Linked DNA regions of Bombyx mori. The protein of the gene in region 1 binds, or shares a complex with, the protein of each later gene. Links are inferred from orthologs where the notes say so. Each region holds a gene or a part of one and is shown on either strand. Other genes may lie near its edges.

Region 1 (4,143 bases):
AGATCAATCATTTTGCCAGATTAAACATAATAATATGTACATATTATATTTTTATTGTATTATCAAAACGTCAGTATATGGGCGTGTGAGTACAAATATTTTAAATGTTCACAATTATACTCTGCCTTCAACAAGTGATCATGATGAAAATATTCATAACATTATTAATGCCTTTGATGACAGACTAACTTACGGCTCACCAGATCCTAGTTACTGTCACTCATGAACACCAACAAAGACAAAAACTTAGCAAAACAGCTCATTCCCTAAATCTAAGGACTCTTCAACCATCCTTTGAAATACATGCCTTAGTATAGTTAAGGCTGATGAGACATTCCAATACTAGGATGATAGTTCTCTGAAAATGCGCTGTATATAAAGTGAAGCCATTCATCCACATAATAACTATAAATTGTTCTACTTGCAAAGTTACCATATATTTATGGTTAACTAAACTACTTTGCCAGTTACATGTTCAATCAGAACTGAATCATTTAAAACAATTCTTCAGAGGACTACTATTATCATAATATAGTAATCGTAGATCAGAGCAGAAATATCCAAAACTATTAATTATGAACATTCTTGCACATAATTTAACCTATTCAGACAAAATTCAATTTTTTTTATAAGCTGAATAAATATTTATTCAATTTGCTTTTTTTTTTAAACTTCTCAAAAAAAAACAATTTCATAGTTTCAAATATGTACAAATGAACTGCAGATTTAAAATCAGATGGACTGCAAGCTTGTCGTTCATTATTGGCAATAAAGAAGGCTTTTCCACAAAGAGTTGTCATGAGGCATGAGTTAGGCCATTGAATAAAAAAATTTCAACCTGTAAAACCATGAGCCTTTTTCTGGATTATTTTTAGGCATGAAAGGAGCTCTTTTCTCTGTTAACCTTACAACACCAGTTAGCTCAACAGGACCCTTTATTAAAGATGGCTCTCGCTTTTCTTTAGGCCTTAAATTTTGATGAATCCAACCTCTGTTTATCAAGATGACTTCTCTGAAATTAACAAAATGTGATAATTAAAAAATTCAATTTTTAACATATTGTTTATAATAGTATTATTGTATTTCATTCATTTTGGTAATACCCTGTGTCAGCTAACTTAAACGGAGTGATCACCAACCACCCTTGGTTTTTTTTCGGGTCAGATACAAGTGAACCAACTCTATTGGTGATAGAACTCTCTTCTATGAGTGCTCTAGGACCTATTAATATCTCTTTTTCATGCAAAAATTCTCCTTTTACTTTCACTGGTAAATATTCCATTTTTTCTAATTCTGAAAAGCTTGAGAAACACAATTTTTCATTAGATATATTAATATAATTCTAGATAAATATAATAATTGTTTGAGCATCTCAAAATTTAATGAAATCAAACTCACAATGTTTCTAATTTAGCATACAATCTATATTATGGGAGTGAGTTAGCATGAAAGTAGGTATCAACTACAAGTGCAGAAAGGTACCCATAGTAGTAGTAGATACAATACACCTTAAATTTTGATGTTATATCATGGTGTGTCGCTGCATTCATATTGCAGTGTCTATGAATTCTGGTAATACTTAAAAAAATCAGAAATGCTGTGAAGGCAAACATAATTTTACAGAAAGTAAAAGTTAAATTCATTATTGGAAATCAGCATACTCTTTTGGCATGTCGATTGGGACAGCATTGGATTTAGCTTGCATCATGTCAATGAGCCCCAGCTTCCATTGCCATCTGTACACTTGCCATGAACCAAGAGTAAAGGAAGTAACTGGTATCATCTGGAATGAAAGAAAATTTTAAAAATAAATATATGCATGTGTGATATATTATCTACATATATTATATTGATTAGAAAATATGTAATAGCTTAATAAGTGTTACAAAAATTAATACAAATGTTCATGATTCATCAACATTAGTTATAGTCATCTTTTTATCTTCAACATAAATTACACAGAAAATAAGGCCAAAGAGACTTTACAAGACTGTTTTACTGTTTGATTTGATGTTTATTTTTTCCTTTACAATTTCTAATGTTTCATTACAACCAGGGCCAAATTAATAGACAGAATTTTCTATAGAACTAAACATGATAAAAAAATAATATACCATCAAGATTTTTTTACTATTTTATCTCATGTTTCTTTTTTCATTTTCATTCATACACTTCTGATGTTTCAACTACTTTGTTGTTAAAGATGCTCGAGTAAGATGCTATTTGCCAAATTTGAATTAATCAACATCAAATAAAATTTTGTTGATATCTTTAGGCAACTTTTATATATATTCATTTTACATATAATCATGCGTTTTTACGTTTACTTATTTGAGGTGAGTTGATGAATGTCAATATATTCTTCTCAATGAGACAGCACATATTTCTCATTTTAAATCATCCTTATTTTTTTTTTTTACATGCTTTGAGGATAATTTTTTTGTAAGTACGAGATTTTATAGGACATTTTTCATCATTCCTTTATTTATAAACGCCCTTTAAGTATTATTTAGTCATTTTAATTTAATGATGATCCTCCTGAGAAGAAAAATGATGTACTTACATTTTTTAACAGTTCTTAGACCTGCTTACTCTGGTTTGTAAGATGAAAGCCTAAAATCGAACTCAAAATTGAATAAAATCATATCTTTTTAACCTTACCAGTAAGATCCATTTGTATATTTCAGTCGGTTCTTCTTTTCTTTTGACCTTCTGTGATCGCATAATATTTGCAATATTCGTATTAAATCTCACATTACTGACAGATCCTTTTTTAATAAAAGTATTGGAAATGATATTTAAATTTCGCGATATTTTAAAAATATTGTTAAACATTCTGTATCTACTTCCTTCTTTTTTGTAACCTACCAAGTGATTTATTTATGTAGGTAGTAGGTAGGTAGCATAGATTATATACTTTTAAGTAGGTACCTATATGTATCACAGATTAGGATAATAGATAAGTAGGTAAGTATTCAGAGAAAGTAGTAGTAGTAAGGTTTTTCTCGAAGAGAAAGGCAATGGAACTAAGCCATACAGCCAATTCTTAAGTTTAATATTTTCATATTTAATTTTATATTTCAAGGCAAAAAAGCCAATGGGGTTGGCCGGTTAAAGCTTTTCTCAGATGTCGCCAGCGTAGCTTGTTCCCTTGTCACAGAGAGCCGCCATTTTGTGTGTTTTGCGTTCGTGATATTTTGGCATTTTGTGACTTTGATACGGTTCTTATTACTTTCTAAGTAGTGCTAAACAATTTTACAACATGTATTCCAACTGGATAGTTAAAGAATTAAAGGAGGAGTTGAGAAAACGTGTTGCATCTTTACGAAGAAAAAAAGTGGATATTGTCGAAAGGTACAATGTTGATGTTTTATTTTAACTTAGAAAACTTCTCTCAAACTGTTTCCGGTAGCTATTATAATAATAATATTAAATTGTGTACCTTAGGAACTTTATTCCTTGTAGCATGTGCAAAAAGAATTGCTCATATTACACACATTACCTACCAACTAATATATTATTTTACTTTTTTCAGATTAGAGCTATATGACCAAAATTTTAATTTTGAAACAAAATGAAAAAAATGCTCTAGCAAAATATGCTAATATATATGATTTGCTAGTGGAGCCATGAGGCATTTTCATTAGCCAAGAGCGCCCATATCTTGCTGCATCTCCTGATGGTGTGTTGGGCGAAGAAGCTATAATTGAAGTGAAATGTCCATACGCTAGCAGAAAACATGAAATAAATATAACAACGGTGCCTTATTTAGAACAATGTAACGGGATATTGTCACTAAAAAAACCTGCCCATATTATTATCAAATCCAATGACAGTTATACTGCTCAGGCAAAACATACTGCAACTTGGTCATTTACACCTACAAGGACATCAAAGTGATTTATGTTGAAAAAGACAATAATTTTATAAATAATATGTTAAATAAATTAGATATCTTTTATGAAAATATTTTCAAAGAAGCATTGTATGAGAAATATCTGTATTATAACTATACATACTTGTCGAAATAAAAAATCAGGAATATTTTTAATTATTTTTATTGACAATTCCTTCTCTAAAATTACATAACTTCTCTACTTTTTGTTTCTTCAGAAACTGGTTTCATATTCCATGAAAATATAG
Region 2 (2,929 bases), on another chromosome or scaffold:
TTGTTGATACTAATAACAAATAAAACGGGCCTTTAATTACAAAGAAAAGCGTTGCGTATTAAGCATTTTAATGTATTAATGTTGCTTAAATTAAATATCCTTTCACCACTCGACATGGTTTCAAAAGGTACAACTAGAATGTAAGTAACGATGCATCCATAGACCAAATTAATATGAGGCAGCTTGCTTATATTTCCACAATATTTACTTACGGCGATATTGAACTATTCGTGTACGATATTCGCTTACAGTATAGTTTATGGAAAAAATCACATGTAAATATCTCGACGGATATGACAAAATTAAATATTTTTATATAAAAGTGCTCCACTGTTTTATAAGGCTTTAAAGTATTTGAAATTCGGCGAATATATCGCGCTATTTGCAATTTCGAAATTAAATATCTATACACTGTGTTATGTTTTATTACTTTTCTAAATATACACCAAATCGGATGATTAACATCTAGATAGATTCTTCCTCAATCTAGACAGATAGATGAGATCCATTGTACAATACAATTAAGATCTATGGGATCTAGATATCATCTGCCGAAGAAGCAGAATCTACAACATACTACAAGAATCGAAAGTACAAAAATAATAATGAAAAATCTTAAAAGATATATTAACTCAATTTTATTGTTTGAAAGCTTTTTATTTACAATACTAATTAATAAAGTCAATCTGACAACTACCTAAGGTGAATTTGTATCAATCATGCTCCGGTTTCTTTCGTTCGAATGGATCGGACCATACTTTCATATCTGTAAAGACAGAGTACATTTTCAATGTTTTTCATCTTCTGTTTTCTTTTTTAGATTGGATGAGCTCACAGCCCACCTGGTGTTAATTGGTTACCGGAGCCAATAGACATCTACAACATAAACGCTGCTACCCACCTCTGTCAACCATGTCAAATATAACTAACTATACCACTAAGTTTATCATTCACAACTTTGCAGTTACTGGTTTAGTTGTTTATATATGTGATTGGAGCTCACATGCACAATATATGCTTAAAAATCACTATAAGCTTATTCTTTTTTATAAAGTTAGTTACCACTTTAATTACTATACAATTGAGATAAACAACTAAGTCCCACAGTTAATTACAACGTCCATGTGTTATCTGAGGGTTCCGGTAAGCACTCACCACCAGTTGGGTCGTGAGCTCATTCATCCATCTATACAATAAATACAAAGTTTCTAATTATATTTCAACTCTATTACTAAAGTTTCCATGGCAATAGCTTTTAAACTTACTTCCAGGTTGGATGTCTTCTTGTCGTATGTTTTTTCTAGCTTCTTTTTGAATCTGTTCTGAAATTAAATTGAACAACAGCCAAGTTAAGAAACAAAGTAGTGAAAAATGAAGAAATCGTAATACCAGTAATTTATTATCTTACTGTATTCAGAGACATCGATCATCGGACTTATTGCTATCGGATAAAGAGTTAATCCTAATAAACCAATAAAACCGCCGATAAAAGCTGTGTAACGCCAACCACGAAATATAGCCATTTCAAAATTTTATTTTCATGAAATGTGTACAGACATTCAGAATTATGAGTTTTATCGATTTTGATAATTTGTATTTCGACTATAACCATATAACAAATAATATCCTGAACTTATATTATTGATAACCAGCTGATTTTCAAATGACATTTTTTTTTTTTATTATTGTCCACTAAGAGTAGTAAAAGAAATATTTCTCATACAGCCTAAGCTAAATTTTTTGGAGTGGGAGATAAATAATGTTACCTAAACCAAAAATTATTTTATTAGAATTATGTAAAATATTACAAATTTACTGGAACTTCAATTGATTTTTCTAAAGAACTGGGAAAGTATCCGCAACAATTCCACAACTTTCGGGTGATCAGTCCGATTGCCCGTGTCATTGATATTGATATGAGTTTCTGTATCATCCTCCACGTCGCTTATTTTTTTCTTTTGCGCTCTAGTAATTACTGTTAACAATACTGAGTTAATACATTTTAATTCGTCCGAGTTTGTTGGTAACCTAGACAATGCATCCGATACGCAGTTATCTTTTCCTTTAATTTAAGTGATATTAAAATTGTATTGTTCTAATGTTAATCTATGTTTTAGCAATCTACTTGACGGATTTTTATTCCAAACAAATATATTACATAACGGTTTATGGTCAGTTATAATTGTGATTTTTTTACCAAAAAGATATGGCCTAAAGTACTTTATTCCCCACAATTGTATGCATTTCGACAAATACCAAACAACCATTAAGAAAATACTAGTTTACTGAAATAAGGTCTAAAACGCCTCGCTATTTTCCTTACAGTAGTCTAAGACATACCTAGACTTCTTTATCGTACGCATTAACTTCAATTTAGTGTAGGAAAGAGATCAAAATATATTTAGGGTGTAATAATACATATAACAAAATGTCCGCTGTGAACGTATCAAATACCACGCTACAATAACACGCTCTGATCAATAAATAGTACCTCAGGATGTCGCAAATTTACCAGAGACCAGTCCAGATACATCCTATTTCCTATGAATAGCTGTGTTTAAGAGGCTTGTATAGTCCAGTCATTAAAAGGGGTTGATCTCGGAAAATCGACCTACCCAGTATATTACCACATGAAAACCTGTATTTTGGCATCCTAAAACTATTCTACAAATTCACATATAATTGGATAGCCGCAAGTTTTAAAATCAGGGATCAAGGGTACAAAGTCGATTTTTTTCACATTTTTTGCAAATATATCGTTTTCTATGGGTTTTACGCTGTTTGTATTTATTGTTAATATTGTAGAGAATTAAATTCTCCACAACTTTTCTATTTGACATTTTTTTAAACTCTGTAATCAGAATATGAACATTAGAATTATTTTGTAATATTGTAATGGTAGCACCTAAGTTCAAAGTTGCTAATTTTA
Region 3 (3,516 bases), on another chromosome or scaffold:
AATTAGAGAATTTTAAAACATTCACCACTTTCGCTATTCGGTATCTCGGTTATGGGAAAAAGGTTGTAAGGCTACAACGAGCTCAATTTACGTTGTATATCAGAATAACGTGGTATTTTAATTAACAATTGATAGGTTATAGTTTCCGGTGCATCGTACAATACATTGAAAAATAATAAAAGTAGTAGAGTAATTGAAATTATGACAAAGTAATTACAGTACATTAATAAATTATGCAACCAGCTGTAACAATAAACCTAAAACTAAAAACCTTACAAAATAATAATTACAATAATAATTGCCATAATCGGCAATCTATTTTTATATAGCGCTTTTAAAAAATTGTATTTTTAATACCTTTTTTGAAAAATATTGTGTAATTAATAATAACTTAATACGTGATTCGCTACAATACAAACAGCTACTAGACTTAACATGTCCGCGGAACTAAACAGCTTCAAACAGCTACTAGACTTAATATGTCCGCGGAACTAAACAGCTACAAACTACAAACAGCTACTAGACTTAACATGTTCGTGGAACTAAACAGTTCCGCGAACATGTTTACTGGAACTAGTTCCGACACTCAAAAGAACGATGTCATGTTCAATCCAGTTCCGAACATGATTAGCGCACGTCTACAACGGACTAAGACAAAAAACTTAATTGCAATGTTCAAGTTCAAACCAGTGATCTAAAATGATTTTAATCATAGATTATACACTTCTCTGATTGAAATAAAAACAGATTTTGACATTTACAGCGGTTTTTTTTAAGGAATTTTTGGACCTGGTAACTAAGATCTTTAAGTCATGTCTTATTATTATTAAAATTCTTATTTTATGAAAAATGATAATATGGAGTGAAATGAAATGAAATGAAGATTAATTTGAAACATTAATCAACTGGGATTAAATTAAATGAAATGAGATGATATGGGATGATATATAATCTCAGTAAAATGGTGGTCATTTACTGTGACTTTTTCAATGGACTTTTTGGAAGATTCCCACATTTATGCACTTTCACAGATACTAAACAGCTATTAAGTACACATTGAAACCTGAAGAAACACTAAATAGACAAAATAAAACAAATCACACAACTTCACTCTTCGCGTTCCCGCCAAAAAGTCTATTAATATTATAAATTAGTTACCTACTACATATAGAGTGGCTAATCGAAGAGTTTTCTCTATGTTATTGGATATATCCATTTATAAATAGAGAATGGTTTTACTTTTTTAAATTGATGCTTCTTCAGATTTTAACGAGCAACATTAGTGGCTTATAGGCTTTGTAGTATCGGTGAAAAAGCACAAATATAGAAAAATTAAATCGATTTGCTTAACATAGCTTTTTCCGAAAAGTCCAATGACGTTTCTACCGTTCAGTAAAATACTGAGTATTTTATTTTATCTCATCTGAACTCCTTTAAATTCTATTTCATTTCTTTTAAAATTTTTACTTAAGTAGTGTAATATTTTATATTTTTTATTGTTTTTAACATTTTCTTTTTCGTGTAATAAAAGTGGCTGTTTCGCTAAGTTTCATTTGCCTGACTAATTAACAAATAAGATAGTTTGATTGATAGCAATGATAGCTACGTAAACTTCAAAATTAAGTAAATAACTAAGGTTATTTTTATCAACTTTATAGGAAATTTTTGACGATGAAATAACAATAAGGAGGTTGAGTTTTTTTTAACCATTCTGTTAAATAGCACACTTAAAAGTGAACGATGACTTTAATATCTAAATTTTTACCGCTTTTACGGAACGGTAGCACCACTGAAAAGATTCCTGCCATATTACAAACTAAATTTAGAACTAATACCCGTTACTTCTCTTCTGAAAAAGAAAGTGGTTTGACTAAATCCAAAAGCAAAGAAAGTGCTTCCCATGTATCTACAGATGTAAGACCCTTAGGAGAAAAAATCAAAGAAACTACAAAAACTGTTTCTTACACCGGCGTAATACTTCTCGGTGTCGGAGTCACAGGTGTGATTTTCTTTTACGTTTTTCGAGAACTGTTCTCAAGTAACAGTCCGAACAGCATTTACTCAGAAGCTCTTGAGAAGTGCAAACAGGTAAATTACCTTGTGTGAAAGAAATCTTGTTTACATTATGATAAATTTACAGATTATTTAATAAACAAGGTCAAATTTTTCTATATCATTAATCATTAGCATTGCATAATGCAGAATGCAGTACAGTAGTCAGTATTAAAGTAAGTAATGAACAGGGGAAACAAACACTATTTAAAGTATTGTTTACCAAGTATTTATTAAATTATTGTCGATTGCAGGATCCTAGAGTAGAAGATGCTCTTGGTGCACCAATAAAAGGTTATGGAGAAGAAACAACTAGGAGAAGACGTACCCATGTCAGTCATGCAGTATATGAAAAAGATGGAGTGAAACATATGAGAATGAGATTCTATATTAAAGGGATAAGAAATAAAGGTGTTGTTGAACTTGATATGAAACAAGTAAGTTCTGTTTAAATAGAAATGTGTTTAACAACTTAAAAGTTCAAATAACACCATACATCTGAATAATTTGTATACACCTCATCAATTTCTTATAATCTCTGTTTAAAATTTTCTATTTTAATAAATTCATTTAAAATCTTTCCAATTCACCAGTACACTTGTTTTTTCAGAATGATTATGGAAACTATATGTGCAGATATTTGCTGGTACAACTTGATGACTACAGTGGAAAAACATTTATAATTGAGGACAACCGAGCTGAATTAGATAATACCAAACCTGATATCGCATTTCCAACCTTAACTCTCACTCAGTGATATAAAATTAACTATGTAACATGTAAATAGTAAAGTAGATATCGAATAAATGATTAGCAAAATAAAATTGTTTCGTTTCATATTATTATGTAAAGTTTTAGTTTAAAAAATAATAAATATAGTGAGCACTTTCATATTGAAATCTTTTAAATATATAGAATACTATACCTTCTTCTGACACCATAAGAATAGTTTTGGAATATGAATCTTATTAATTAAATTCTTTGAGCCAATGAAACTTAATGCTTATAATATCATTTTATTGCAAACATTAAAACATGTTTATCCTTATTAATAATTAAAGTGAATTTTACAGTGAAGACTAGAAATTGGCACAAATCAATTATTTCGCAGTACAATTTTATAGATCTTACATAAGTTCGTCATTCAAATGTTTTCCAAGATTGTACTTTCCATGACATGAGAAGTCGATTGGTAAATATAAATTCCTTAACTTTATTGAAGAACCAATGGAATATCACTACAAAAGAGAGATATTGAGGCCAAGCCCACTTAAACTCTTCTAGTATACTAGGAGTGTATCTTATTTGCATCTCTGGAATTCTTAGATGAACTTGAACAGTCATAGAATCTGTCTGGCCATTGTAGGTTCTAGAATTTATCGTTCTGACTTCTGTGGTAACTGAAAATAGTTTATTTTTTGGTTATGAATGTAGTTGAATAAATATGCTGTAGGTTTACTTATA

The links.
Region 2: Surf1 (region 1) and small integral membrane protein 20 share a complex: the UniProt entries of both Homo sapiens proteins name them as parts of the MITRAC (mitochondrial translation regulation assembly intermediate of cytochrome c oxidase complex) complex. The link is inferred for Bombyx mori from reciprocal best matches to the Homo sapiens genes SURF1 and SMIM20.
Region 3: Surf1 (region 1) and mitochondrial import inner membrane translocase subunit Tim21 share a complex: the UniProt entries of both Homo sapiens proteins name them as parts of the MITRAC (mitochondrial translation regulation assembly intermediate of cytochrome c oxidase complex) complex. The link is inferred for Bombyx mori from reciprocal best matches to the Homo sapiens genes SURF1 and TIMM21.

The regions. Positions count from the first base shown.
Region 1 is NC_085107.1:11,546,275-11,550,417, reverse strand, and holds the start of Surf1 (surfeit 1), read right to left. Parts: upstream 2,933-4,143; 5' UTR 2,836-2,932; coding exon 2,662-2,835; intron 1,784-2,661; coding exon 1,662-1,783; intron 1,302-1,661; coding exon 1,104-1,301; intron 1,013-1,103; coding exon 839-1,012; intron 1-838. UniProt on the Homo sapiens protein: Component of the MITRAC (mitochondrial translation regulation assembly intermediate of cytochrome c oxidase complex) complex, that regulates cytochrome c oxidase assembly.
Region 2 is NC_085120.1:2,850,666-2,853,594, forward strand, and holds small integral membrane protein 20, read right to left. Parts: upstream 1,705-2,929; 5' UTR 1,524-1,704; coding exon 1,409-1,523; intron 1,323-1,408; coding exon 1,266-1,322; intron 767-1,265; coding exon 714-766; 3' UTR 622-713; downstream 1-621.
Region 3 is NC_085110.1:12,601,639-12,605,154, reverse strand, and holds mitochondrial import inner membrane translocase subunit Tim21, read left to right. Parts: upstream 1-1,308; 5' UTR 1,309-1,740; coding exon 1,741-2,088; intron 2,089-2,306; coding exon 2,307-2,489; intron 2,490-2,662; coding exon 2,663-2,809; 3' UTR 2,810-2,876; downstream 2,877-3,516. Other genes in the region: transmembrane protein 231, read right to left, coding at 3,193-3,452. UniProt on the Homo sapiens protein: Participates in the translocation of transit peptide-containing proteins across the mitochondrial inner membrane.